Astyanax mexicanus: one gene and its partners. The protein of the gene in region 4 purifies or fractionates together with the protein of the main gene of each other region. This does not show direct contact. Links are inferred from orthologs where the notes say so. Each region holds a gene or a part of one and is shown on either strand. Other genes may lie near its edges.

Region 1 (7,441 bases), on a different chromosome or scaffold from region 4:
CGAAGTTGTGTAACATTTTTAAAACGTCCATTAATTTTGTTGTGGAAAAAGATGAATAACATTGGGGCCATTTTCAACAAAATCATGTAACATTTTTAGAACATTCTATTAATGTTATTGTGGAAATGTTTTCTGCTAACATTGGGGCAGCAAAATTGTGTAACATTTGTAAAATGTTTCATTAACATCACTGTGGAAATGTTTCTTCTAACATTGGGGCAACTTTGAACAAAAAAACTCCCAACATTGGGGGAACTTTGAACAAAGTTGTGTAACGTTTTTATAACATTTCTTTAACGTTACCATGGAAACGTTAAGCTGTCCATGCTTTTCTACAGTCGCTGGTTTGGACCTCGGTATCGGTATCGACCCACATGTTGCTTTAATGGTGAATCAGCTTTATCAGTTCTGATAGAACCTCTCCGGTTCTGATTCTGTTTTTTTGCTTCATGTTTATGGATTTATGGATTATTTTGGATGTATTTTAAACCTGCATGGCTTTTTTCCCCTCACGTCTCCATTGGCTCCCACTAATGCATGCCCCGCCCACTTTCTGTCCGTACCCATAAAATAATAATCTGATCTCCTCCTGCCTGCGTTCCTCTTCTGTTGCTGCAGAGCTGGAGATGGATGGTGATTGGACGAATCTCGGACTGAGCTGTTGCGATTGGTCGGTTTGAAGAGCAATATTTGCAAATCCAGGACTTTACTGTTGTTTGGAAAAAAAAAACAATTGCTGTTAATTTTGTTCTTGTAATAAAAGCTGTTTTTCTGATCTGTGTCTCAGTTTTTTTTAATTCATGATGTCTTGTAGACAGCATCCTGTGGGTGGGGTCCTGTAGGCAATGTCCTCTGGCCGGCATCCTGTGGGCAACATCTTCTGAGCGTTGTCCTGTGGGTAGCATTCTGTGTCTGATGTCCTGTGGGTAGTGTCCTGTGGGTAGCGTCCTCTGGGCAGCATCCTGTGGCCAGTGTCCTGTGGGTGGTATCCTGCGGGTAGCGTCCTCTGGGCAGTGTCCTGTGAGTAGTGTCCAGTAGGCAGCATCCTGTGAGTAATAACCTGTGGGCGGTGACCTGTAGGCAGCATTCTGTGGGTATCGGGTATCGTCCTGTAGGCAGTGTCTTGTAGGCAGTATCCTGTGGGTAGCATCCTGTAGGCAGAATCTTGTGGGTAGTGTCCTATGGGCTATGTCCTGTAGGCAGCATCCTGTTGGCAGCATCCTATGGCTAGCGTCTTCTGGGCAGTGTCCTGTGTCCTGTAGGCAGCGTCCAATGGGCAGCATCCTCTGGGCGGTGTCCTGTGGCCGGTGTCCTGTAGGCAGTGTCGTGTGGCAATTGACATGGCAACATGTAATCTTTCACTCCACACCTATTATTCATCATAAAAGACATTTATTAGCCAGTCAAACAGCAGATTAGCCCCGCCCACTGCACTGAAAAAATTAAAATCCGCAAACTGAAGTAAAGCATTGGGTTTGTTCAGGTTTTTGCCTGTGTGAAAACAAACCAAACTGAGGGGAAACCGCTCAAAGTTAATGAACTCATCAACTGATTCAGACCAGATAAACCAAATACAGGTGTGAAAAAACTGCTATAAATATAACACTGATCACTTTAGCTCGATTTTAGATATAAAGAATATTCCCACCCACTGCGACTAAATTACCCACCAACAAAGAAACTGAGCTCTGGTCTGATTGTGTGCAAACAGTGCAAATATACACAACATACAGAGCTTTTAAACACAGTCCTGTAACACTGTGTGTGTGTGTGTGTGTATTAGTCACAGGCACTTAAATCCCTGTTAAAAATCTGTGAGAAAGAGTCGTAGAGTGGGTTTCTGCAGTTCTGTGTTTATTTAGGAGGATTGTTTATGAACCTGCTTAGATTTAAGGCGTAATTAACCATAAGTATCTTTGGTCAGGAAACCCAACATTAAATATATGTTGGAGAAATCTATATTCTGGATATGGCTGTCATTATAAAACACACAAATTTTACATTATTAAAATTATTGTATGTAAGGTCTAATATGCAGTGTAATAAAATGTAGTGTGTATTAAATACAGTATAATGTAATGTAATATATGTTATATATAAAGCAGCAGTGTGTAGGGTAGTTAGTCTGAGGCGATGTAGAAACTCTGCACTACAGACTGAAGCTGAAGAGGTGGAACAGTGTGTGAATTATTTATCTCAGTAAACTGAACCGCTCTCCATTCCTACAGCACAAACTCAGCACCACACCTTATAATACTGCAATGTTACACTATAACAATCAAATGTTTGGACATATCTTCTCATCCAATTATTTTATTCTTTTTTTTATTGATATACAATAAATGTATCAAAACACTGCATCACATGGCTATTTAGATAATAAACAAATCTAATATATTAATTTTACACATTAATTATACAGAAAAAAAAATCAACAAACAATGGATCATATATCTATAAATATCAATATGAATCATACATTATCTATCATACATACTAATGTATATACCATATATTTTACGGTAAATTTCTGAATTGTGCATGCAGTATACTATGTAGTATTACTTTATACCACTAATACATTTACTTTAACATGAAGAAAAAGAACCATATGGCAAATAACATAGTAAAAAAAAAATAAATAAATAAAAAAACATTTATTAGATAGTATAATAGCAGTGCACAGTACTGGGTTGGGGTGGAGAGAGTTAAATTACTATAATATGGTACCATATGGTAACTTTACTGAATTTTGTTTTGCATACATTATACGTCTATAATTAGTATATATTACTAATACATTCAATGTAACATAAAAACTGCATCATATAGCATATAATATATAATATATAATCTTCAAAAATGATTGTGTCAGGCATATATATGGGAAGTGGAAAGTGTATTATTGGTGTATTGTTTGGAATTTTTCTGGGTAAGCTTTATGTAGCTTGGCATATATATATATATATATACGTATATTATTATTTTAGGTTTTACATTAAAAAGAAAACAAACCCTGAAACACTACATCATATGGCCACCATAATTAATATGAAACTGCATCATAAGGAAATAAATATAAATATTAACACTGTTTCTACTAATTATTTGTAATGTTTTATAGGAAACACAGAACATCAACTTTACAGGAGAAAGATAAAACCTTAATTTTTAATGGAAGTCAATGTAAAAATACTTTATTTCAGGCCATGTTAAAGCATTTCTATTGGTTTGTTCATCTAGAAATTTCGGCACAGTGTAAGGGACAGTTTGTCTGTTCAAATTATGTATTAAACAAAAAATCGACAAAAATGAAAATGCTTGTTTTTCATTGGACAGCGACTATATATAATTTGTACAGTATATATTAAATATTATAATAGCAGTGCACAGTACTGGGTGAAAGTGGAGAATGTAATTATTAGTATAATATGGTACCATATGGTAACTTTACTGAGTTTTGTTTTGCAAACATTATACTGTATATAATTAGTATATACTACTAATACATTCAATGTAACATGAAAACTATATTATATTATATAGCACATAATATATAATATATAATCTTCTAAACTCATTTTTTCAGGCATATATATGGAAAGTGGAAAGTGTATTATTGGTGTATTGTTTGGAATTTTTCTGGGTAAGCTTTATAGAGCCAAACAATATTAATACTGTTTTCTACTATTTTTTTTGTCCGTTGTTTTAGGAAACACAAAAGATCAACTTTACAGGAGAGAGAAAAATCCTTCTTAACTTATAATGGAAGTCAATGTAAAAAGAGTTTATTTCAGGTCACAAAAAAAAAATGGACAAAAATAAAGAGATGCTTGTTTTTCATTGGACAGCGACTATATATAGTATATATTAATGTAATATATGTATAGTATATATTAAATATTATAATAGCAGTGCACAGTACTGGGTGGGAGTGGAGAGTGAAATTATTACTATAATATGGTACCATATGGTAACTTAAGTGAATTTTGTTTTCCATGCACTATAGTGTATATTATTAGTATATACTACTAATACATTCAATTTTACATTAAAAACCCTAACTAATACTGAATTATATAGTAACTAATGTGGTAAATAATTAATGTAATATATTTATATATATATAATATGGGTGTAATATGATCAGTGCTGGGTGTGATAGAGTGAGTGAGAGTGAGAGAGTGGGCAGTAGGAAGTGTGAATCATATGAATTGGGAGTGAACCAGGCCGGACTCACAGCAGCAGCAGCAGCAGCTTCACTCTTCTAAGGTAAGCTGATTTAACTCGGGCTTATTTATCTCGGGCCGCTTTCTGCCTCTTTAATTCAGATCCCGCATCTATATTTAAACTGTTTCCACCGCGCGGGTCGGGCGGGGTCCGAGCGCTGCCGGATTAAAGGCTTAAGAGCCCGGTGAGCGCTGCGCTCAGCTCGGCTCAGGCAGAAGGTCAAGCCGCTAGCCTGCGCGGTAGCATCCGCTAGCATTCAGTAGCATTCACTAGCCTGTTTACGTTGACTTCCATTCATCTGTTAGCTTGGTTAGCTAGCGTTAGCTTCGGCTACCATTCATTTGACTGCTTTAAAACCGGGCTAACTAGCGCATTAGCTAACTGTGCTAACTAACGAAATCTGCTGGGAAAAAATGGAGTGGGCGAGTCAATTATGCGTGAGTTTATTATTATTTTAAATATTAATATATAATATTAGCACTTGGTATTATCTTTAGTCGTGTTCTTTTTGTTGTTGCTAATATTATTTGTGTGTGTTTTTTATTAATATGTGTGTATGTTGGGTTTCGTTAGCTTAGCATAGACTATCTTAGCATAGCCTAGCTTAGCTTAGCATAGTTTGACGACTTATCTAGCCTGTTTACACAGTTTTTAATGCTTTTTATCAGTTAAATTGTAAAACAGTATAAATAACAGTGCTGTAAATGTTACAGAAATGTGGATAAATGCACAAATAGAAGCTTGTCAATGTTGGAAAGTAATTCATTTAACGATATTTAGGCAGTTTAGCCAGTTTAGCTTGTTTGTGTTTAGCCTGGCTGTAGTAAACATATAACGTTAGTTAATAAAAACAATAATAGTAATAATAATTAAGAATATGAGTTATTTAAGTTGTTACAGTTGTTTATTTAGCTTATACATTTATTTTAGCAGTTGTTTAAGAAATATGGATTATACAGAGTGATCTGGAGAATATAAAACTGAATCTAATTCTTGAAGTGACGTGTCTGTTTATGTAGTTTACTAAGGTTCAGTTCAGTTATGTGAAGAAGTTTGGGCACCCTGATATATAATTTTCATGATTGTCTTTTATAAATCATTTATAAATAATGAAGAATGCTCCAAAATACCTTCAGCCAGAAGCCAGACTCTTTTTGGAAGCTATAGGAAGAGTTTAAAAGCTGTTAATACTGATAAAAAGCAGGATCTTCTAAATATTAATGTAATCTTTCGGTTGGGGCCCAAATTTATACTCCTGTCTAATTTAGTTTAAGGAATTATTGCACAATTTCTGTAAATCCTATAAACTTCATTTCACTTCTCAGTTGTGTGTCAGTATGTTTGTCTACTATACAGGTGCTGGTCAACGAATTAGAATAATTTGAAATAGTGCAATCATGAAATTCTTTGAATGCATTTTTTGTGCAGAAAGCAAATCAGGTGTTCACCGCACCTGTCCTACTCATTAGACTAATCACAGAACTCGTTACCTGGAAAAAAATTTGCTCAGCTGAGCTTTCCAAAAGGCCCATTTAGGCCATTTAACTGTGACACTGTTGTTTTATTGAATTAGAATAATGGAGAAACCGTTTCATTGAATTAGAATAATTTTTATTATAATTACAATCATCACTTTCTCAGTATTTTGTGGCTGCCCCCTTGGCTTGTATGACTGCCTGAAGTCTCCGCGGCATCGATTTGACCAGCTGGTCGCAAGTTTCCGCACTCACAGCTTCCCAGGCAGTGGCGATGTTCTGCTTCAGTTGGTCCAGCGTAGTAGGCTTTCTGTCGCAAATTTTCCGCTTGACGATGGCCCAAAGGTTTTCAATGACATTGAGGTCAGGCGAGTTGGCCGGCCATGCCAAAACTTCAAGCTGTTTTTTAGTGAACCAATCTTTGGTCGACTTTGCCGCATGAGCCGGTGCAAGATCCTGTTGAAATATGAAGTCTTCTTCGCCGAACTGTTCCTCAACAGTCGGAATCAGGAACGTTTCCAGAACATCTTGATATACGGCAGCATTGACAGTCTTCTTGAGGAAGCAGAGTTTCCCTACACCTCGAGCGGACATGCATCCCCAGACCATAACACTCTGGGGAAACTTGACGGATCTTTTCACGCACTCGTGGTTGTAGGTTTCGCCACCACAACGCCAGACACGAGGACCTTGGTCACCGAAGGAGATGCAGAAGCGTGATTCGTCACTGAAGACCACTTTCTGCCAGTCTTCAGCAGTCCACTCGCCGTGTTCTTTGGCCCACTTCAGCCGTTTCTCCATTTGTTTCTTGTTCAGCATCGGTTTTACTGCTGGAACGCGAGATTTGAAGCCGAGTTCGCGCAGACGACGGTAAGTGGTTGATCTGGAGACGTCAGCGCCGGTCTGCTTGTTCCACAAGTCGGTGAGCTCGGAAGTGGACTTGAACCGGTTGCTGACTGCGATCTTTCTCAGCTGCTTGTTGTCGCGAGCAGAAGTTTTTCGGACGCCGGAACAGTTGGTGCGCTTGCTGCAGTTTTTCTTGAGAGCTTTGCAGACGGAAGACTGGCTGATGCCGAGCTGCTCAGCAATTTTAGTTTGGGTCAAGCCTTGTTGGCGAAGGGCTTGAATTTGAGCCACTATTCCGGTTGAGAGGTCGCGCTGCTTACCCATGATTGATTTTACAACTTAGAAATTCTACTTAACCCTGACTTTATACTGCACAGTGAACACTCTTCACAGAAAACAAAAATTTGAGCATTTATTCTAATTCAATGAAACGGTTTCTCCATTATTCTAATTCAATAAAACAACAGTGTCACAGTTAAATGGCCTAAATGGGCCTTTTGGAAAGCTCAGCTGAGCAAATTTTTTTCCAGGTAACGAGTTCTGTGATTAGTCTAACGAGTAGGACAGGTGCGGTGAACACCTGATTTGCTTTCTGCACAAAAAATGCATTCAAAGAATTTCATGATTGCACTATTTCAAATTATTCTAATTCGTTGACCAGCACCTGTATGATATATTTAACTGAAATTGTTGATCTCAACAACCAATGATTTATAAAAGGAAAATCATGAAAATTATCAGGGGTGCCCTAAACTATTTTATTCCACTGTAGGAGTGAGCTGACTCTTAGTTTAAACATGTTCACTCTAGGTGTTAAAATGGAGTAATCTGGAAAATATATATGGCTGTTTATTTAAGACATTTAATTTCAGTTGATGAAAAAAATTAAG
Region 2 (7,672 bases), on a different chromosome or scaffold from region 4:
TTTGACGTACATGTATATGCATCGATAGCAGAAGACATAGCCTGAAGTAGCCAGGGCCGTGTCATTGCTGCGCAACTTCCTGCACAGTGGGCAGACTTTATTGTTTGTGTGAGAGTCCTGGTCCTCCAGATGAAGTGGGGGTGGAGGTGTAGGGTGGGATGTGAGCGACTTTATGTTGCTCTGGTTCTCTGAGGAGTACCACCACTCCAGAAACTGCAGGAAAAACACACCCAGAGAGAGACTAGTGGAGAGAGATACTGCCACGCCTCCAACCATTGTGGACAATACACGATGCAGCTTCTCTCCAATGCTGTTGAGGGAAAAACAATTCGCAATTACATTGCATTATTCACCAGAGAATTTTTCACTTAATTCTACTGAAATACACTAAATATATATAGGATTTTATCAGAGTTTTATCTTGACCAAATTAGTCAGTTATAACATTAATAAATAATAATGCTCACCTCTGACTGGGGCTCAGTGCGGGGCCTGTTGGTTTGAGATCCAAGCTGCGAATGTCATGAGCTGTGAGGTAAGACAATTTAACTCCAGCCAGCCACAACAGGGGTGAGTGTGTCCGTGTTTTTCCAAAAACGTAAAACAGCTGATGGAAAAATGTCCAGCCATCCCATGCCATGCACACGTAAGGGTAGACAGCCAGAAAGGCCCTGTACATCTTCTGAGTAAAGGACTGTGGCAGCCGTATGGAGAAGTCATCCTCTTCCTTCTGGCGGGCCAGGACCTTCTCCAGCTTGGTCCGCAGGTATGGTAGGAGGGCAAGGAGGAGCAAGGAGCGCAGGTGCTGCCTACGGCTGAGGCCTTGGTAGGCTGCTCGAGTGCTGTCTCCACCTACCCGTTTCAGGCCGTAGAAGTTTTCAGAAAATGATGCACTGGTGCGTGACAGGAAATGGTGCTGCAGCAGGAGGTCCAGGACAGCGTAGATCTCGTCAAACTTCCTCCAGAGAATTCCATATCGATCAGGATTGGATTCAGCCAAGATCTAAGTATACATAATGACAAATAACCACAGAAGGAACAACACAAATAGGTTATGACACTACTGATGGTTATGACACTACTGATACTAAAGTATCATTTTTCGAAAAGGCAAGAAGTGGTAAGAATTATTTTATGGAACAATTTTATTTTACAACTGTGTTAAAATACCTTTGTATTTATGTCCTCTGCGGGATTCAGTATGTCAGTTTGTTTTATAAATGTATAATACAATATAATATTATATTACTTTACATAATGTTGCTTGCATGTTTTTATTCTGAGCAAGCAAAAGTATTATTAGTATTAGTATTATCTTAGTACTGGTATTAAGGATGCACTGATCTGATATTAATATAAGTTTTGTGTGCGAAGTGCGGAGATAGCGGTGAGACCCAGATGGTTGGACGTCAGCAGGAGGGAGCCATTATTGACAGACTGATCTGCATATTATCAGGTGTCTGCATACCAAAGTACTCAGACACATCATCCACGCCTATAGCACAGTTGAACTTGAGAGGGCACTGCAGAGGCAGAAATTACCATAATAAAAGCAGTACTGGTTAGTTTCATTTAGGGCTGGGGCGACGCATCGACATAATCGACGTCATCGATTACAAAAATACATCGATTTGCATAACGTGCGTCGGCGCGTCGTAAACATGGCGGCGCCTGTGGAGAGCATTAGAGGTTAGATCGGGCCCAAAAATTCCAACTGGCTGTTTTCGGGCTGTTTTAATGAGCGAAATATGATCAGAATTATGTTAATTAACACGGTAACATAGAAGCATAGAACTATTATTTAATTAAAATGATTTTTAAGAACAGCTAAACACAGTTCTGCAAGTCAAACGCGGAGGAGTTCACGTGCGAGAGAGAGAGAGAGAGAGAGAGATTTGCTTGTTCTACTCACAGGTGAAGGTTCTCTTTGATCTCCTCGTGCTCATATTCTAGTCCCATTCATAATTCTGCAGCTCCCTCAGTGTTTTCTGCCGTATTTTGCGGCTAGCGCGAGCGCTTACAACTGACACCGCGGACCGCGAGGTGCCGCCGCGTTTGTGCCGAATCCGACTCTCTGCTGAATCTGACTCCCGCTTCGCGGACAGAATCGGCACAACACCCCCGCTGTAGAACTGCGGTAGTGAAAACAGCGCTTATAAATAAATTAGTTTAGTTTCACTTTCAGTTTTCGTTATTTTTTTTTAAATAAAAATATAATTAAAAAACAGACGCCTACATCTCGGACTATTTTCTGGAGCCCGGGTCGGATTTACGGGCGGGCCTCGGGTCATGTCGGGTTCGGGCAGAGAATCTAAGCTCTAGGGAGCTTGGACTCCGGAGAGCAATCTCCAGCTACAAAAAAACGCCAGCGGGCATCTAAAGTTTGGGAGCATTTCACGCAAAAGGGCAACAATGTGGTCCTCTGCCATACGTGCAAAAGGAGCACTTGAAGCGCAAACATCCAGGAGCACTATGTCAACAGGGTCACACAGTAAGTTACCGTTTACATCAGGGTCTCCGCGGGTGTCCTTAAAAAGACTTAAGGCTGTCTACCAAAGGTTTTAAACCTGCCACAGGCAGAAATTATACATTTTTGGTTTATATTTGTGCATGGCATTTCGCAGTTTCCAGAAACAGTAGCATTATTCATAAGTTCAGGTGTTTAGCTAAGCTAGCTGCCTTAAGTTATTTTAGCTAGCGCCGTCGGCGCTGCGGTGTCACACCGTTTTCTGTCACCGTCGGAATTTTGTGACCAGTGCTCACGGTTATGAGCGTTCATTGGCAAAACGGAAGCTTTCTATACCTACACCTTACCCTCAGCCCTAAACTGAACCGTTTTGGCCAGTCGGGGTAAACATTAGAAACGAACACGTTTCGAATCGGCCAGTGCACCGGTCTGCTGAGAACTACTTGCCAGTGGTCACAAAATCTAGCGGTCACAGAAAACAGTGCAACACACGGTTGTGGTGTATGGGAGCTTATCCATTTTTAGCGTTATAGATCTAAACAACGTGCTGTACATGTAAGTGATTATAAGTGTGGGGTTTGGTTTAGTAGGCTTGTGTTGTTGTTGTTGTTGTTGTTATTATATATAAATATAGTAATTTATCGTTTGCTTTAAAACGTAAAATAATTATTTAAATATGTTTCTCAATGAATAGATTAGTCGACTAATCGAAAAAAATAATCGTTAGAATAATCGTTTAAAAAATAATCGTTAGGGACAGCCCTAGTTTCATTACTTTAAAGTAACATATATTAATAGAAACAATATGGTTTAGAGGCTCTTTAATATTGAATTTAAAAGCTGTACCGAGGCCCAATATGTTAAACTATATTTGATTTTGCAAGGTTAGTAAATGTTTAAGTCAATTAAGAAAGTCTCTCGACTAATGATATCAGATCGGTATGGGGTATCAACTTTTAAGTTAACTTCTGCCTCAGTATTGGAAGTGAAAAAGTGAAAAAAGTAATAAAAAAAAAATCACTGCATCCAATACAAAGCTATAACTACAGTACCAGGCATATTTGGACAAACCTTTCACCTCATAAAATGTTTTTCTTTATTTAATTGTAGATTAATAACAAACACATAAAAACAATTAAGGCACATATATGGAATTGGAGCTTAGTGCAAAGGAAAAACAGCAACTACTATTTAGCACCTTCAGGAACTCCTTTAAGACGCTAAGAAAACTATACCAGGTGACTCTACCTCATAAAGACACTGAAAAATACCAATTGTGCAGATCTGTCCTTAAAGCTAAACATGGAGGAATCTAAAATATGAAACATATTCTGGTCTGTTTAACAATCATATTCATGTACAGCTTTAATGATTTCAATATTAAATTTATAATGTAAAAATTGATTTGTATAATATTGCAATATTTTGAGATTAAATATTTAAGAAAAACAGTATTGAATACAAAACAATAAATCAACCTGTTATGGTTGTGATGATAATCGTTATTGTACATAATAATATGGATTTGTGGTGTAACCAGAGGGATAGTTTGAAACTAACTAGTAGTTATTAAGGACTTAGTAGAGACTTTACACACAAACTTAAGAAGGAACTTACGCAAAAGTGGTGCAATGTTCTCTAACTATAATTATGCTTTCATACTATGAGAGTTAAAATTGTTGATGTCGATGTTATATACGGAATTGTTTATAGTATCACAATCTATTGCTATATACCGAATCGTAACCCCTTCAAGTATCGTATCGCCAGGATCACAACACGCAGTCCTCAGTATTCAGTTGTTTTGCGGGCTTACCTTCACGGCGTGCTGCAGTGCGGGTTTGACAGCACCCATCAACGAGTCCTGAGCTAAAACCTCAAAAATACTCGGCCTGTCTTCCACTGCTGCTGCTGCTGCTGTGGTCAGATGTGCTCCTCTCTCCGCCATTCTGAGCGAGTTTACAGATAGATAACCTACTTAAACTTCAAAATTAGACTGTAAATCAGAGAATACTTCAGTTAGGAAGCGAACAGCGGTGTCTATAACCCACTCTGCGCTCAAAACAACCAGAACCGGGCGCCATAGTGGCCAAAGTACAGTGTAAACACTGTTTAACGCATGCCATTCTCTGCACCTCGGCGGTGCAACAACATGGCTGTTCCGTGTTTTTCCAAGAGCTCCCAACTTTCCGTTCCGGCCGCTCCATCTTCTTCCCCCCTCCGTCTACAGCTGTGGCAGTGAAAGCGGCCAGCAGCAGCAGCGGTTCACTCCAGCTCCGTTTACACCCGGATACCCTTTAAAATCCTCTCCGCTCCTGTTTCCGAGGTAGGGGCTTTTATTGTTGCTGTTTTGGACAGTCTGTTTATTTGCTGGCGAGGCGAGTTAAAAGGCCGATTTAACGAATGTCGTTCATTTTTCGTAGATGATAGCTAGCGATAGGTTAGCTTAGCAAGCTACCTAGCTAGTTAGCCTAGCCCAGATAACCTAACGTTAAACGGTCACACCCAGGGGTAATTGCTATGGGAGCCTCAAATATCGAGCTTAAATACATTATTTACACTGAATATACTGTGTTTTCTGTCTATGGGTAAATAAATAAACAGTGTTCTGTCTGAGAATGGAGCTGAACGGATATGAACGGATTCCTGGCCGGCCTGCTGTGTTTCGGATGTTCATTCTGATTAGATAAAGTTATTAAGACATATTAGACGTTTCTTTCATTTGTTTTCCAGCAGAATAAGCTTTATACTGAACATATATCTCTTTTTAAATTCACCATGACTATATTAACCTTCCTACCTGGCTAACATTACACCCATAGCCAAATATATAGTAAACTACTTATATATTTTCTTAATTTATTTAAGGGTTTTTTTTTTAAGAAACTTATTTACAAATCCTTTGGATTAATGATAATTATTGAAGAGTTTACATATCATTACACCATCAAATTTTTTTAATGCATAGATATACACGCATAACTATACACACATATATTCTTACAGGTCTGGAACATAAATAAGAGACCACTTAAAAATTATGTGTTTCTTTGATTCTACCAAATTGAAAACCTCTGAATTATAATCAAGAGGAAGATGAATAGTCACAAGACATCAAACCAAACTGAACTGCTTAAATTTTTGCACCAGGAGTGGCATAAAGTTATCCAAAATCAGTGTGTAAGACTGGTGGAGGAGAACATGCCAAGATGCATGAAAACTGTGATTAAAATCCAGCGTAATTCCACCAGATATTTATTTCTGAACTCTTAAAAATATGTAAATGAGCTTGTTCTCCTTGCATTATTTGAGGTCTAAGAGGTCTGCGTCTTTTTTGGTATTTTAGCCATTTCTCATTTTCTGCAAATAAATGACAATATTTACATTTGGAATTTAGGAGAAATGTTGTTTGTAGTTTATAGAATAAAACAACAAAGCTCGTTTAAATCGTACAACACATACAACTACTACAATATTAGAGCTTATGTCCTTTGTAAGTGTTAAATAAGTTACAGGGTTTGAAAGAGATTTCAGTAAATGTCCTATAAAACATATACAATAGGGTAGGTAGCGAGATAATTTGGCTATGGGTGTAACCTTAGCTAGATTTATGTTAAATCTATCATTCTTTTTTGCCAAACGGCTATTTTTTTGCATTATAAAAAAAAAACTTTCACAACATAAATTGAGACTCCTATTTGTGGTTACATATTTATTTGTATTATTTTAATGTGTGCTTTTCTCTGAAGTGAACTTGAACACCAATCAAAATGACAGACTCAAAGTATTTCACTACAAACAAAAAAGGTAAGGTTTTAACTTTGATTGACATTTATTTTTTCTCATTAATAAATCTGAATTAAACCTCACTCACACCTGGCATGGTAGTTTTATCTGGTCAGTGCTTTATGTTTTATTAACCTTACCCTACAATTATTATTTTCTATAGGAGAGATATTTGAACTGAAAGCTGAGTTAAACAATGAGAAGAAGGAGAAGAGGAAGGAAGCGGTGAAAAAAGTCATCGCTGCCATGACCGTGGGCAAGGATGTCAGGTATGATGGGTTTATTGGACACTGTTATTTAAATGCAGGGCAAGGATCATTTTCAGGGCAATAATGTCACGTGTTCTGTGAGCTATTTGCTTTATATGTTTTTTAATTGTTTGGGCCACAGACATCGCAGTTGTAATTTATTTATAATGATTCTGTAAGGAGAACGAAATTAATTTCTTTTTTTTCTTGGGGATTATTTGTTAGAAAAATGTTTAAATGAATCCCACACTGTGTAGGCTGTAATTTAGCTTAGCTTTAGCTCATTTTCATTTTGACTTATTATTTTGCACTGCAGTTGATGCTTTATTATTATTATTATTATTATTATTATCATTCCTTATTCTGTGACTATTAAACACTCTAGTCAATAATCAAGTAAAAGTGTTTCAAAGTGCTAGCATGTTTTTTTTTTTTGTTTTTTTTTTTCATTTGACTGTTTAAGTTTGTCTCTTTATTTAAAATAGATTATGAGGAGATTTGTATATTGCTGATGGTGGTGATCTTGATTTAAATCTATCCTGCCTCGTTCTTTCCTCTCTGTAGCTCTTTGTTCCCGGATGTGGTGAACTGCATGCAGACTGATAACTTGGAGCTGAAGAAACTGGTCTATCTATACCTGATGAACTATGCCAAGAGTCAGCCTGATATGGCCATTATGGCTGTCAACAGTTTTGTAAAGGCAAGTTTTTCTCTTGATATTAAAGAAGAGATGCTTAAAATGTGCTTATGCTATTTGCAACTTAACTCTCAATAGGTATTGCTTTAAACCACTTGCTTTAAACATTATAAACACATAGAGCATGTAGCTTTTCCTTTATCTTTCAAAATGATAGTGGCATTCTTCTTTAGAAATAACCCTAGGTTAAACATGTTCTGTGAGATTTAATGTCATAAATATTCCACTGTATTCTGTTGGTTTGGAGAAAGCTTGGAGAAACTTTTGGAAGCATTTAGGCTACATTTACATCACTAAACTGAAGTAGTCCAGCTCTGTTTTTATAAGCTGTAGATGAGAGCTGTTTTATTGCAAATTTGTTTCTCTAAAGCCTATTAAATATATAAGTGGTCAATATTGCAATTATTGTTTTAGGATCTGTATGGTCATCATGATTCACAGTGTAAAATTCTGAGTATGTCATTGTTTAATTCA
Region 3 (7,440 bases), on a different chromosome or scaffold from region 4:
CGTCATTGAAGGAGGAGCTCTTGGACAAACCATCCCACATTTTAGCCAAAAGTTTGTGGACACAGCTGTATTAGCCAAACGTATAAACATCCCACCTTTTATCCAACAGTTCTTAGACTCAACTAATTAACCAAATGCATGTGGACAGAACTGGACTGGCAGCCTTTCCAGTCTGTATCCCGATAACTCTCAGGTTCGGCTCCCCAAAAAAACTAAATTGATTAACCAAGAACTATACCAAGGGAACACCTTAGCAAACACCTTTGCAACAAACACCGGCTCAGCATTTATATTGACGGAATATAAAGAACAACTACCAGGTTGTGAAACATGGAGATGAAGTGTGATGCAGGACAGCGATGATATTTAGCTAGCTACTAATACAAACAACAGTACAAAGCTATATACATCTAGATATCAGCTGAGGTAGCTGAAACCTGGCAGAATTATCTGTTAACCTGGGTTATGTCATTATTGTACAGTGTATTTTATGAATATGTTCTTCTGATGGCTAATTAGGATTCCTGGTTGTTTGCAACTTGTACATGTCTATTGTTCTTTAACTTAAATCTTTTGTTTCAATTATATATCTAAAATAGTTTAATATTGTCTATAGTCTTTAATTTATGTTAGTTTTGTTACTTGTAGCTTGTGTGCTAGTGGACAACTAACAAAGTAAGACTTTCATAGTCTTGAGATATAAGCTTTTCCTGGGCAGTGGCATGTACTAACACATGTGGGCAACAACAGTAGATTAACTAACCTAGGTTATGTAGTTATATATCCTAGCTATGTTAGCTGTCTATTAACATCTGGATGTTGCTTCAGGGTGATGAAGTCTAGTAATATCTAAGAGGAATGTCCACAGCCAAGAGCTAGCTATCTACTACACTTCTACTGTCACATATTTGGTTTGTAAGACAGCATTTTTATAAACCTAAGAAGGTACAGTGTTGGTCTGTGAACTAGAATTACTGAAACCTGTTCTGTCCAACAGAATTCACAGTTAATTAGCTAAGATAATGTTAACTAACGTTAACATCATATCAGCCCAAAAATCCCACAACAGTGCATCTCTAGTTATGACAATGTTATTTGCCCACAGCAATGTTAGGTTAACAGGTTAGCTAATGAAACTACATATTTCTGTCAGACCTAACTTAAGTCAGTCTCAGTCACCTGTGTGTTAGTAGGCGACAAGTTAGCAAAGTTAGAATTTCATAGTGAAGTATAACAATCCTGTTTTTTATGTGCACAGGACAATAAACACTGGGTATGTAAAGACCAACTAGCTACCAGGTTCACAAGTGAAAATATCAGCTAAACGTGGAGATATAAGGTTTTAGCAAGGCAGTGACCATATGTACTAACGTGTGTGAGCCACAACATTAGGTTAACTAACCTGACGCTAGCTTGTTGGCTATAAACATCTGTGCGTATCTCACAGGAACTTCTCCAGTCAGAGCTACTACTACACTTCTACGGTCATATATTGTTTCTGTTAAACTGCATTTATATAAACCTAAGAAGGTACAGTATTAGTGTCCAAAACAAAGCAAAGTTTAATTAGCTAAGCTAAAGCTAATTAGCTAGGTTAACCTTACATTAAATCAGCCCAGAATTCCCACAACGGTGCCTTTCTAGGTAATTATATAATTAATGCACACAGTGCACTTATGCAACGATCTTTGTCCACAGAAACGTAAGGATAGGTTGGGTTAACTTATTTCAGTATTTACTTTTCTAATAAGCTTGTGTGTTAGTGGACGGCAAGCTAGCAAAGATAGACTTTCATAGTGAAGTGTAACTGTTCTGTTTACTGTGTACAAAATATCAGCTAAACGTGGAGATATAAAGCTTTTATCAGGCAGTGACAATATGTACTTATATATGTGTAGCTCACAATAGTAGGTTAACTAACCTAACACTAGCTTGCTGGTTATAAACATCTGGACGTTAGTTAGTTATAGCTACTTCATGGTGCTGGTAAGACTGGTTAATATCTATCTATCTGACTGACTGCAACGCCCCCAGTCAGAGCAACTACTACAGTTCCACTGTCACATATTTGGCCTGTAAAAGAGCATTTTTATAAACCTAAGAAGCTGCAGTGTATGTGTGTGGACTGGAATTACTGAAAACTAACTATGTCCAGCATAAATCACAGTTTAATTAGCTGCTCCAGTCTGGCTAGGTTAACATTACAGCCAGTGCTGGCCTCTCACTCAAACTTCACCACGGAAGAAAATGGGCAAAAAAACTGACAACACGCGATTGACAACTGCAACAGCCAATCAGCGTTCAGAACAGCGTCATTAACATTCCAGGACATAGGCCGACAGCCAATCAGAAGACGCGGTGGTGGATTGTAGTTGGTTACTGGTGTTGGTCGTTGGTTCTCCGAGGCGGCCCAATCCCCGGCCTGGCGGAGCTGCCACTGGCCGGATGAGCAGCAGGGGGAGCGGGGCAGCGGCTTCACCGCGCTGTCCCCCTCCCCGAGCAGGCTTCCCCGGTAAGCTTTCTGCAGTAAAGCGCCCACACACCGGGTTGCTACTTAGGTTAACTGACTAGCCTCCAAACACACACAGTGCCGGCCTCTCTCTTTCTACAACTAGCTCCGGCTAACTAAGCTAAGCCAGCTGTGTTTGGAGCCGGCGAACCAACACACAGCAAACATAATAATAAAGCGAATCATAATAAAAACACGCTCACTTACCCAGAAACTCTCCAGGAAATAAGGCGCTATCATCTTGGTGTCCTCCCTTCTCTCCACTGCCAATCTTCCCTCGTACTTTTAATTAGGTTTCTGTGATATCAGACGCGCTCAGTCCGCCGTCCTTCTCACGGTTTTGTTTTGTCTGCGGATTTTTCTCTTTTTTTCCTCCCTCTTTCGTGTCTGCTCGTTTCCCCCTCTGATTCCAAGACTCCTCCTCCTCCTTCTGCACCGCCGGCACTTGTCTGCTGCTCTCCCGAGTCCGGCCGCGGCCTCAGTCAGCAGCACACAGCGCTCGCCGGGTGCTGTACTGTAGTGCATTACTGCAGGAGAAACAGCGACACCAGCGGCCAGACTGAGGAACAACACCACAGCCTGTGTGATTAGGTCTGCCACGATCACAATATTTTGTGGACGATATATCAATATGGCGAATTGATTTTTGTGATAAACAATATTATCGTCAATATCTTTTAAAGAGCATATTTAAAGAAAACAAATTTAATTAATCATAGTTATTCCTGTCACATTTTTTTATAAACAATATATCATCAAATAAATAATTGTGATATGCAATATTGTCATTTTAAGACCATATAATACAGATGATATTGTTTTATTACGCCTTTATTTCCTTTTAAAGAAACCCATTTAATACTGGAATCATAGTTAGGCCTGTCACGATAACAATTGTTTTGTGTATGATATATCGTAGAAGAAATCATTGCAATAAGCAATTTTATAGTCATTTTAAGACCATACAGCTCTGGAAAAAATTAAGAGACCACTTCAGTTTCTGAATCAGTTTCTCTGATTTTGCTATTGATAGGTTTATGTTTGAGTAAAATAAACATTGTTGTTTTATTCTATAAACTACAGACAACATTTCTCCCAAATTCCAAATAAAAATATTGTCATTTAGAGCATTTATTTGCAGAAAATGAGAAATGACTGAAATAACAAAAAAGATGCAGAGCTTTCAGACCTCAAATAATGCAAAAATGCATATTCATAAAGTTTTTAGCGTCCAGAAATAATTTGGGGGAATAACCCTGGTTTTTAATCAAAGTTTTCATGCATCTTGGCATGTTCCCCTCCATCAGTCTTACACACTGCTTTTGGATAACTTTATGCCTCTCCTGGTGCAGAAATTCAAGCAGTTCAGCTTGGTTTGATGTTTTGTGATCATCTTCCTCTTGATTTATATTCCTGAGGTTTTCAATTTGGTAAAGTCAAAGAAACTCATCATTTTTAAGTGGTCTCTTATTTTTTTTTTCCAGAACTGTATAGTATAGATGATATAACTGCTTTGTAGGGGTGTTCTATATCGTATTGTGCGCATTACTATTGCCAACATTTTAAATATATCGTGAATGATATTATACCCTAAAATATAATATCACCCACCCCTAATTATCACATCAGGGTACCCCTTTTTGCTGTTTTTAGCAAAATAAAAATTCACACTGTTCTCATGTCCTATTATATATATACTAGAGACAGATTATATCTGTCCAGTATCATCCATTTCACTTCAGTCCTGGATATATGGAAATATCTGGAGTACATTATTAGTATCATGACATTCTGTTTATATTTTTTTATATCTCAGTTGGGGTGTGCCATATCATGTCATATGCAGTAATAAAATTGAATTCATTTAGTTGCATGAGTGTATTCTTAATTCAGTGTGTTGGCATATTGCCAAGAGTATCGTTATCACAAAAATATCATGATATATCGTGATATTTTAGGGCAATATCGCCCACCCTTATTGCTTTGTTATGCCATTATTTCCTTTTAAAGAAAACCATTTCAATTAATCATAGTTAGGCCTGTCACAGTAAACAATATATCGTCAAAGAAATCGTTTCGATAAATATTATTGTCATTTTAAGAACATATAATATAGATAATATAATGGCAAAAAAACAAAGCACTTATTACCTTTTAAAAAATAATATTGGCATTTTAAGTCCATTAAATGTCACAAATATAAGGATAACGCAACATCTTAACAACAAAATCATGTCCTTTTTTATGCTGGTTCTCCCCCAGGAATGAAGCGTTTGGTGCATTTCCATCAACAGAAATGGGTTCTGGAAACTTAAAAGTTTCCAACTGGAAGTAAACTAAACTAGGTTACAGTGGGTTCTTCACCACAAACTGAGAGCTGTTGTGCAGCTCCTTTTTTTTGACGATTCTGTGACTTCTCATCAGTTTTAGTAAAACCGGTGCAAATGTGGACTGGTTTGCTGAAAAGCACCAATACTCTGGAACCAGTTCCAGAACAGTATGGAGCAATTATTGAATCACTACATTACATTTTGGCAGACGCTTTTGTCCAAAGCCACTTACAATAGTGAAGTACAAAAGTAATAGAAGTTAAAGGTAAAAACATCTTTAGACAGGGCCTAAAGGAGGTCAAAGGGAAATAAGGGGATAGAGGAGTGAAGGAGGGGAAGAAGGAAATGAGGTTAGAAGTAGTTAGTGTGTTAGAGGTGTTAGGAGTCCTTGTGCAACTGGCTAAAACACATTTCACTGTTATAGTTATATTTTTGTTAGTGCATTTGTCTAGTCATCTAGTTCCCCATGGATTTTAGATTTATCCAAACCATATTCTTACAATTATTTACAGCTCAATACAAAAAATAATAATAATATACACATACATATACACACATTTTGATGTACTTGAATTTTCTTAATTTGTCATTGTTTAACTATTTATATGCTTTAATGTTATTTAGGTTTTGTTGTGTGATGATTTATAAGGCTATTATACAATTACATGAATCTAGTGCAAATTTACCACCGTGATCTTACATTAACACAAAAATTTGGTACTGAGCTAAAAAGGAAAAAAAACTTTTTACAATAGAATTGTCAGGTTTAGCTACTTTAAGCAATCTTGTGTTTTGCCAGAGCTGAAGACTAAAGATGAATTTATGTTGGTCACAATGTTGAAAGTAGGCTTTCTTTCTTTCTCTATCTACCCTGAAAACATCCTTAGTTCATTTCAGACTTCATACTACTCATGTGAAAATTCTGTAGTAGTAAAATACACTAGCCAGGTTAATATTAATCACTAAAGTAAAATGTGTGTGAAATGCAGTCAAATGATCTTACCACTTTAACCAGAAACCAGAAGCCAAATGCAACAGAAACGAGAAGAACAGTTTATGAAAACGGTTTATTTTCAACAATGTACAGATCCAAGCAGTGATACAAACTCACATCCATCACAAGGTCATACAAACGTCATTACAAAATTACTACAATATAGATTATTTGCATGATCCAAAATATTTGGTGGCCCCCAAAAAAATTATTACCTTCGATATTTCCATCTCTGAAATTGAGCAGCTTGCCAAAGACGAAATAAAAACTAAAAAAAAAAAACAATTCTCATATAAGAGCAATGGGAGCTAATGAGCAAAAAGGATTTACATGGTTATTACATTATTCCTTAACTATTATCTCCCCTAACAGAGCATAATACAGTAGTTGGTGCAGTGCTAAAGTGACACATTTTAAATAGTACTTACAAAAACAAAAAAAGTAATAATATCGTAAGTATTTAATATTGTGCAATCTCTGTCTCCTAGCAGAACAGATTCCCCCACAGGTATCAAGTCTAATTGCAAGGCATCACAGTAAATACTGCACTTAAATTTCATTAGCACAAGTTGCTACTATTCACATACTATTGTGCCAGTTTCTCTACCACCCTGTTATTTCACTAAAACAGCTCTGAATTGCTTTACGTTAAAGTGGACAAAGCTTCCAACACGTGCTCACCTATTGTTAACGTGTGCCTGTTTCTTTCTTTAATTTCCTTTTTTACCCCCCCAATAAACTGTAAAACTTTCCATTGGCAAATAGTGGAAAATTAGTCAATGCCTGATGGATTTAGTGCTGCAGATTCTCAGCTGATAGATGGAGTGTTTACAATGATACTCAATCTACCATCTCTCTCATAACAATCAATCTCTACTGATCAGTGAGAGCAGTTTGCAGTGTTACTCAGAGTTGGGGGATGGGCTGGAAAAAAGGCATATATTAAAACAATTAAACAAAACTGAAACAAAATACAAATGGTAAACATGCCTCCTGAGGATTCTACAACATAAAATATTCAAGTAGAAAACATCACATAGCAGCGTTCGTATATTTAAGACAACACACTAACAGCATTCAGTTTTTTCAACATTGTCATTTTTCAGTGGGATCGAAGCACCAGCACTGAATAAAGCCAAGCCTTTCATACTCTTTGCTGGAATGTGACAGACAGACTTTTAACAATCTTAAACAATCCTACCAAACAAACATCTTAAATCACATCAAATAAGTCGAAAAAGCCTGATCATATCCCGTGGTGTTTTTTTCTTCAGATGGCACATAAAACCGGTCACCTTCATTAGCAATTTTAAACATGATGAACTATTAATGTGTTTCTAAAACACCTTTTTTCTAACGCACTTTGTTTATAATTGAACGGGGTAAAAGTTTTGCTTATATTTCAGAAAATATACATTTGGTTTGTAGAAACATCTTTTAGTAGCTAATACTAAACATAAATCATTCTTGCTTTTTATACAGTCTTCCAAGTGCAGAAGATTGCCAAAATAAGAAGTACTGCTGCTGATTGCTCTGACCTGCAGAGCTATTACAGTTAATATCTCTGCCTAAAGTGATCTTCAGAAGCCATGTTCCAGCTGCCTTCA
Region 4 (7,797 bases):
TGTATAACTTCACACTAGACCTCGAGCAGTTTGGACTGTGTGTCTCTCCACTCTTCCTCCAGACTCTGCTCTCTTGATCTATAAATGAAATGTGAAATGTACTGATGATCAGTGATGGTTTGGAGAGCCATGTCTGTCATCTGCTGGTGTTGATCCACTGTGTTTTATTATCAAGTCTAAAGTCAGTGCAGTTTTGTTTTCCCACAAAATCTTACAGCGCTTCATATCTTACAGATTCCATCTGCCGATAACAACTTTTATAGAGATGCGGATTTCGTTTTCCAGCAGGACTTGGCACACTGCCAAAAGTACCAATTGGTCTTATATAATATTTTAATTTTCTGAGACACTGAGTCATAATCATCAACAATAAAATAAATAATCAATAAAAATAAATCACTCTGTGTGTTATACATCTACATAATTTATGACTTTCACTCATATATTGTTTTATCATCATCATTGCAATATGCCCATGTGCAATAGTCAAATCCCAGGATGTTCGATTTCAAAGATCAAATAAAATGAAAAGGGTCAGGCTTTTTTTTTTTTTTTGCTTGTTTAGTATGAAAGGAATATTCTCACTTGTGAGAGTGTACTATGATTATGACATGACATAATGGATCATGGACCTCTGAAGAAAACTAGTAAAATGTCTGTATTCTGTATATCTAACATTATATAACATATGTAACATATATATATATATATATATATATATATATATATATATATATATATATATATATATATCACAATACAACAAAATATTGTGATATGCAGCTCTAGGTTCTTATCAAAATGATCCTGTTTTGAGAGCATTTAAGCCTTTAAATTGTTAAAAAAGCAGTCTCCCCCTCACATCCACTTTTTTACTATATGCACAAATACACACTAAATTAAACAACACTGTTTATGCTGTTGGAGTCTGATACTCTTTTAATTTAGTGAGTTAATGCTGAAGTTGAGGTACTAGACTAGAAACTAGACTAACTGGACGTGTTAATCCATTGTTGTGCTTCAGGGCTACCACAAAATGTCATATTTCCAATAAAATAAAATTAGACCTTTTGTGTAATAACAGACATAAAAATATTATTATTTACTGTCTATCTCCATTTGTGAGTTATTATTGTTGGGCTCTAGTTTACCAAAAAAATCTTATGGGATGCTAGATAATGTATGCACTGAAGGAGCACCAAATAGCTTATTGGTTTTTAGAGATTTTGAGGTAAAAAGTGGCTTTTTAAGGGAGCACTATATGATTTCTGCCAGTAGATGTTGCACTAGAGCACAAGCATCTTAGCTCAAAAATATGCATCTGTGGAAGTTTAAACATTGCTTTTTCATGCATTTGTGACCTAAAATATATATTATGGTGAAGTCCATATTTCAGTGTTCCGCACTGGCAGGTTCCTGTGTGAACTATAAACTCTGTTACAGTACATTCACATTCATTACCACATTCTAAAATATGCACACATACAGGTATTTACACCCTGCAGGTATTTACAGGTGTGTGTATGCAGAAGGATTAAGCGATAAAGAATGGTCATTTCTTATAGACTATACAAGGATCAAGCTTTTTCTCCATTATCCCAAACCTGGGATGGGCTGGGGTTATTTCTAGATACACACAGACATATTAGTTGAACCATAGTTAGGATACTGTACAATAAAGCAATACATTGTTATAAAAGTTTAGTCTACGTTAAAGTGGCAGTCCGTATTATTTTGTTTCTAAACTGAAAGCAGAAGCATTTCTGAGTGGAGAAGTATAGGGATAAAATATTTTGTATTTTATCCCTATATCCCTGCTAAGCCATATTCATATATTAATTCTAAAAACTGGGGTGTTGGGTCGCTTTTCGCGTGAGTTCTTCTTTTGGCCACGTTACACGTCTTTACATACTTACGTCACACGTACAGCCTCTAAAAGAGGATCCGGCTCAGTTTTACTGAACGCAAGCGGCTGGTGGAGCATTGAAGACTTCAGAAGAGGAAACTCAGAGCTCAGTAGATCAAAACTTACAGACATCAGCTTTAATTGGAAATAGTACAAAATTCATCAGTGCATATTTTAGCTTGCAGGTTATACATTTGTGTTCAAAAAGAATGGCAGATGGCATCTTTTTCATTATTTTAAACATTTTCCTATATTATATATATAGTTTACTTTTTTTTATTATTTTTTTCTTAAATCAAATTTGTATTATTTTTCTATCCAGTATCCTACATCTTTTTTTTAGAGATGAAAAACTTTTAAGTGACAAAAACTGTATCATTTTGTTGAATTGAGATCATCCTGTATTTAGAAATATGCTTAGGTATAATTTATGTATGTATGTATATATATATGTATATATATGTATGTATATGTATATATATATATATATATATATATATATATATATATATATATATATATATATATATATATATATATATATATATATATATATATATATATATATACAGCTATGGAAAACAATTAAGAGACCAAATCAATTCTCTGAAATAGGTATATGTAACAAAAAGATGAGTTTTCAGACCTTAAAAAATGCAAAGAAAGCAAACTTATGTGGCGGCCCCTAACTAGGGGTTACCAGACTACGCCACCCCTTAAATTACTTATTTTATTTAGAGTAAGGGGAACTCTCAAATAAGACACAAGAACTTGACTGTAGTACAAAATACAATGATTTATTTAAAACCGTACCAAAGTCAAATCTACTGTCAGTTTCATTTATTGGGTGAGAGGAAATATATATATAAAAATTTAAGAAAATCACAATTTACCCATGACCACTGGGTCCAGGGTATGGAGAAATATGAAGTCAATCCAATAGGACCAAAAGAACACACGTGAATAAAGTTTACTTAATCACTGCACAGCAAACTTAAAAATAAAATAAACTAAGTACAAAAAAAAAAGAATCACACTTCTAGTGAACAGGACTTAGCCGAATATGGTTGACTCCAAACCCCCAGTCCCAGTAACAATTATAGCCACAGCTAAAATTGACTAATTGTACCATGTGGTTACCACTAGGCTAGAGTCTATACAGAGCACATCATTAAAAACCACAATACTTAAAAATACCTGAGCAGTTAATACACTTAGTGCTACAAAATTTATGGTAGAATAAAAAAATAAAAAAAAGAAATACAAAAAAAGAGCAGAAAACAGCAACTGGCAACCACTGGAACTGTGGCTCTCTATGCAAATACACAAAACACACATTAATACATTCATCACATAAAAACAGTGCAACTTGCATTCAATTACCAGAAGAGACATACCACTTAACTCAAGGTGGAATGCTAACTTCGCCCATGGACAGGGTAGCAGCTTTAAACCTCTATTAGAAATAGATCACACAAAAGCAATTGAAACATGATATAAAACCCATTTTGCATTCTGTTCAGAACATAGAGACATATCTTACCTAAAGTCCCCAAGTGACCATTCTAGAAATGGTACTAGTGTTAAATGTAGTAGTAGCAGTTAAATATAATAGCAGCAACCAAAGCTAAAACACTCAAACTATTACAAGACAGCACATGGAGCTAAAGCAGCTCAAAAGCATAGTGTCTCTAATAATGTACAATTAGAATGCAGCAGACACTTGCCTACTATTACAGAGCATATGGAGACATACATCTTACCTAGAGCCCCCAGATAACTATTCGAAAGAGTACTAGTGTTAACTATAGTGGTAGCAGTTAAATATAGTGGTAGCAACCAAAGCTAAAATAATCAAACTATTACAGAACTTTAAAAAGTGCAATAGTTTAAGCCTACCTGATCAAAAATACCTTCAAAGTTAGTCAGGATAAGTAGGAATTAACAAGCAGCTTAGCCAAGAGCTAACAAACAAACAGAGTGTAAAAAAAAGTTAGTCAGAATAAGTAGTGATTAACAAGCAGCTTAGCCAAGAGTTAACAAACAAACAGTGTAACTTAACCCCAGCATATCATATAATTAGCCAGCCTACCTCTTATATCACGTCGCCAGGCACAAACACAGACTGTTGCTATTTATAGCCACTCACAGTCGCTCAGCCTCGGGCACTCCTGTTCTCACTGAGTAATTCACTAGCTCAGAGAATCGTCTCCAGCCCACGCTGCTACTCGCGTTAGCTTAGCCACACAGTGCTACCTTCAATAGGACCCCCTATAGGTGCGTATATAAGTGCCTGCAGGACCACACTGACTCGCTAATGCTGGCGCCCTAGTTAATGACGTAACTCGTTCACGCCCCCTGCACCTGCACGCATACACACACACACACACACACACACCCACAATAGCTGGCTACACTTATATTAAGAAAGTTTTTTAAGAGTTCAGAAATCAATATTTGGTGGAATAACCGTAGTTTTTAATCACAGTTTTCATGCATCTTGGCATTATGTTCTTCTCCACCAGTCTTACACACTGCTTTTGGATAACTTTATGCCACTCCTGGTGCAAAAATTCAATCAGTTTATTTTAGCTTGATGGCTTGTGCTCATCCATCTTCTTCTTAATTATATTCCAGAGGTTTTTCATTTGGTAAAATCAGAGAAACTCATAATTTTTCCCAGAGATACATGTAAAATAAAATCTTAGAAAGTAACGTAAGATCACTAAACAGTTTTCAGAATGTAAATACAGCAGCCTTCTCCTAAAACCTGAAATCCATGTCAGGTTTTTGCTCCGCCGTCTGTGTGCGCGCTAGACTGAGGTCATATTGCAGCAGTCCGTTCCTTTATGGAGTAAATCCGGTACCGGGGTTTCCAGCCTCCCTATATTGCCCCATTGCCTATCGCAGCGCAGGGTGATGGACTAGTGGGAACAGAAACATTATGGCTGCCAGTCTCTCCCTGACTCAGGTAATAAATACTGATTCTGCGCGTTAATACAGCTTTATCTCCAACAGCTTTAGCCGCTAATCCTCAGCCTGGTGTCCAGCTGTCCGGGCTAGGCGGGTTTTGAGGTTAAACTCTGCCGGGTTTTTGTTTTCTCTGGTTGTTTGTGCAGACAGTGCTTTGGAAAAAGTTTCTAGCTAACAGGCTAATGCTAACTAGCAGGCTGATCTGAGCTGTGGGCTGCGGGAAGGGCGTAGTTAGTGTCAGTTTATAAATGGGTGGGTTACCAGCTTTTATCGCCTTGTTTTCTCTCTAAACTCACTTGGATGATAGCGAAGAACGTTTAATAAACGTTCAGTGCTCGGTTGTACTACAGATTTTGTGTTGAGAATGGATAAACAACTGTTAAACAACCTTTATTTAACGTTAGCTAATCTAGGAAGCTAACAGGCTCTCATAGACATCAGTATCTAATTTACAGCTCTGGAAAAAAGTAAGAGATCACTTCAAAATCTTTAATTATACCAAAATAAAAAACTCTGGAATATATTCAAGAGGAAGACGGATGATCACAAGCCATTAAACCAATCTGAACCGCTTGAATTTTTGCACCAGGAGTAAATGCATAAAGTTACCCAAAATCAGTGTGTAAGACTGGTGGAGGAGAACATGATGCCAAGATGCATGAAAAAACAGGGTTATTCCACCAAATATTGAGTTCTGATCTTTGAACTTTATGAAAGTGGACGTTTTCTTTGCATTATTTGAGGTCTGAAAGCTCTGCATCTTTTTGTAATTTCAGCCATTTCTCATTTTCTGCAAAAAATGCTCCAAATGACAATATTGTTATTTGGAATTTGGGATGAAGGTTGTCAGTAGTTTATAGAATAAAACAACAATGTTTATTTTACTCAAACATATACCTTTAAATAGCAAAACTGAAAAAGAAACTGAAGTGGTCTCTGAATACAACCAATATATAGCTAGCTCCGTATATTTAACCATATAAGTGCCCAGACCCATTTTTTAAATATTGAAACCAATTTCAATTCAATAAGAAGCTAATTTATATGTGTTTGTTACTGTGGGCCATGTCTGTAAATTTAAAATATAATAATAATGTTAAACATACATGACAACAGCATTGAATGTTTGAATACTTAAATGCAAATAACAGTAAATACACTTAAATAAAAAGCTGGTGTAGTTTTATCTCCAGCACTAACCCTAAACCTCTCCTACATTCTGTAATAAATACAAATACATTAAAGCATCCTGTAGTGATTATGTGTAGGTTATGTGTCACAAAGTTGTTAAAGTAAAGAAAAACAGACACAGCTTTTAAAGGATCTGTGACACACATACGTCACCATGGCTTCTTTTGAGACAAGTATCTGCAATAGAGACACTTCCCTTTTTCATGCTTCAATAATTTTTTTCTCTGAAACGTTTTAAATGTGTAGTTGGCTATCTACCTTGCTAATGAACTAGTAAATGCTATTCTACAAAGCTTGGTATATCTTATGTGGGATACAGAACACTGCAATTAGCCACCATGGAACGCTATAAATAATATATTATAACTAATATGCTATAAATATAGTAACTATACGAGTCATATCCTAGCATGAAGCTATAGGTATCAGTATTCTTGCTATTGAAAATCTTGCTTTATTATAGGAAGAGTATTAGTGTATATCTCTACTTTCAACTGGCTAAAGAACTTCAAGAGTTTTTAAAGGGTCTGTGACACATACATCACAATGGGTTTGTTTGATTTAAGTGCCTGCAATAGAATGCTATAGATACGTTCCTGTTTTTATGCTTTCCTATTTGTATGTGTGCGTTTTAGCTATGTTTTCAAATGTGCAGCTGGCTTGCAAACTAGCTACTAAACTAGGCAATTTTGTTCTTTTAAGCTTATTGTATCATATTTGGGATACAGAACACTGCATTTACCATGGAACACTATAAATATGGCTAATAAATATATTTTACATAGAATAGCCATATCCTTGCTTATATCTATAGATGTCAGTACCCTGACATTGGAAATCTGGCTTTAGTATAGGAAGGATATTGGTGCATACAATGCCTATTTTCAATTGAATTTTCTAGTTTAATATTATTAGAATATTACAGTAATAAATTCACATAAATCTATCATAAATTTGCATTTTTTTCGCATATTTAAGAACAACTCGAGCAGGACATCACTTTTTCCTTCTTATTTGGTTTGACTAAGTTTAACCACTTCATGCTCAATCAGACTTAGAAACAGCAATATTCACAACTTTACACATTTATTCATATTAAATTCTGGCTGCTCTGCTTGAATACTGCTTAAATACTTTGATATAAAAAATCTGTTGATATTAAAAATAAGTATAGGAAGGGTATCAGTGCATATTCCTATTTTTAACTCACATTGTTTGATATATGAAGTATGAGAGACATAAAACATTGTGTGTGATTTAGTGAAGCTGTTTCATATTTCATAAGAATATGAGAGTAATAAATACACACATGTATCATAAATGAACAGTTTATTGCATACTTAAGAACAACTCAAGCAGGACATCAGTTTTCTTTTCTACTGTGTTTAACCAATTCATGCCCAGTCAGACTTCAAAACAGCACAATTTACAACTTCAACACATTTAATCATATTAAATTATGTCTGCTCTGCGTGAATAATGCTTAAATGTAAAAAAAATCATTTTTTATCCTTATAAAAGCAGCAGAAGCAGCTGCTCCAGCAATGCTTGTTTACTTGAGTTAGCTTAGCTAAGCTAACGCTAGCTTAGCTTAGCTAGCTTAGCTTATGTAGCTTTAGCGTTTTTGCTGAAGTGTATATATAACTTTTAAAACTATATAATGATTTTTCAGCAAAGGGGAGAAGTCAGCGTTTAGTCAAGTCGTGCCCTCGTGTTTTATGTCGCTT

The links.
Region 1: the proteins of eps15 (region 4) and ap1b1 purify together in Homo sapiens (affinity purification with mass spectrometry; 3 studies listed by BioGRID and IntAct, with this or other methods). This does not show direct contact. The link is inferred for Astyanax mexicanus from reciprocal best matches to the Homo sapiens genes EPS15 and AP1B1.
Region 2: the proteins of eps15 (region 4) and ap2b1 purify together in Homo sapiens (affinity purification with mass spectrometry; 3 studies listed by BioGRID and IntAct, with this or other methods). This does not show direct contact. The link is inferred for Astyanax mexicanus from reciprocal best matches to the Homo sapiens genes EPS15 and AP2B1.
Region 3: the proteins of eps15 (region 4) and fcho2 purify together in Homo sapiens (affinity purification with mass spectrometry; 3 studies listed by BioGRID and IntAct, with this or other methods). This does not show direct contact. The link is inferred for Astyanax mexicanus from reciprocal best matches to the Homo sapiens genes EPS15 and FCHO2.

Annotation. Positions count from the first base shown.
Region 1 is NC_064429.1:35,995,333-36,002,773, reverse strand, and holds the start of ap1b1 (AP-1 complex subunit beta-1), read left to right. Parts: upstream 1-4,425; 5' UTR 4,426-4,643; coding exon 4,644-4,667; intron 4,668-7,441. UniProt on the Homo sapiens protein: Subunit of clathrin-associated adaptor protein complex 1 that plays a role in protein sorting in the late-Golgi/trans-Golgi network (TGN) and/or endosomes.
Region 2 is NC_064408.1:29,619,931-29,627,602, forward strand, and holds the start of ap2b1 (AP-2 complex subunit beta), read left to right. Parts: upstream 1-4,666; 5' UTR 4,667-4,793; intron 4,794-6,216; 5' UTR 6,217-6,237; coding exon 6,238-6,274; intron 6,275-6,416; coding exon 6,417-6,522; intron 6,523-7,065; coding exon 7,066-7,201; intron 7,202-7,672. Other genes in the region: pex12 (peroxisome assembly protein 12), read right to left, coding at 1-310, 468-1,003, 4,284-4,415. UniProt on the Homo sapiens protein: Component of the adaptor protein complex 2 (AP-2). Adaptor protein complexes function in protein transport via transport vesicles in different membrane traffic pathways.
Region 3 is NC_064408.1:22,662,805-22,670,244, reverse strand, and holds the start of fcho2 (F-BAR domain only protein 2), read right to left. Parts: upstream 3,004-7,440; 5' UTR 2,750-3,003; coding exon 2,717-2,749; intron 1-2,716. UniProt on the Homo sapiens protein: Functions in an early step of clathrin-mediated endocytosis. Has both a membrane binding/bending activity and the ability to recruit proteins essential to the formation of functional clathrin-coated pits.
Region 4 is NC_064419.1:46,970,629-46,978,425, reverse strand, and holds the start of eps15 (epidermal growth factor receptor substrate 15), read left to right. Parts: upstream 1-4,781; 5' UTR 4,782-4,850; coding exon 4,851-4,877; intron 4,878-7,797. UniProt on the Homo sapiens protein: Involved in cell growth regulation. May be involved in the regulation of mitogenic signals and control of cell proliferation. Involved in the internalization of ligand-inducible receptors of the receptor tyrosine kinase (RTK) type, in particular EGFR.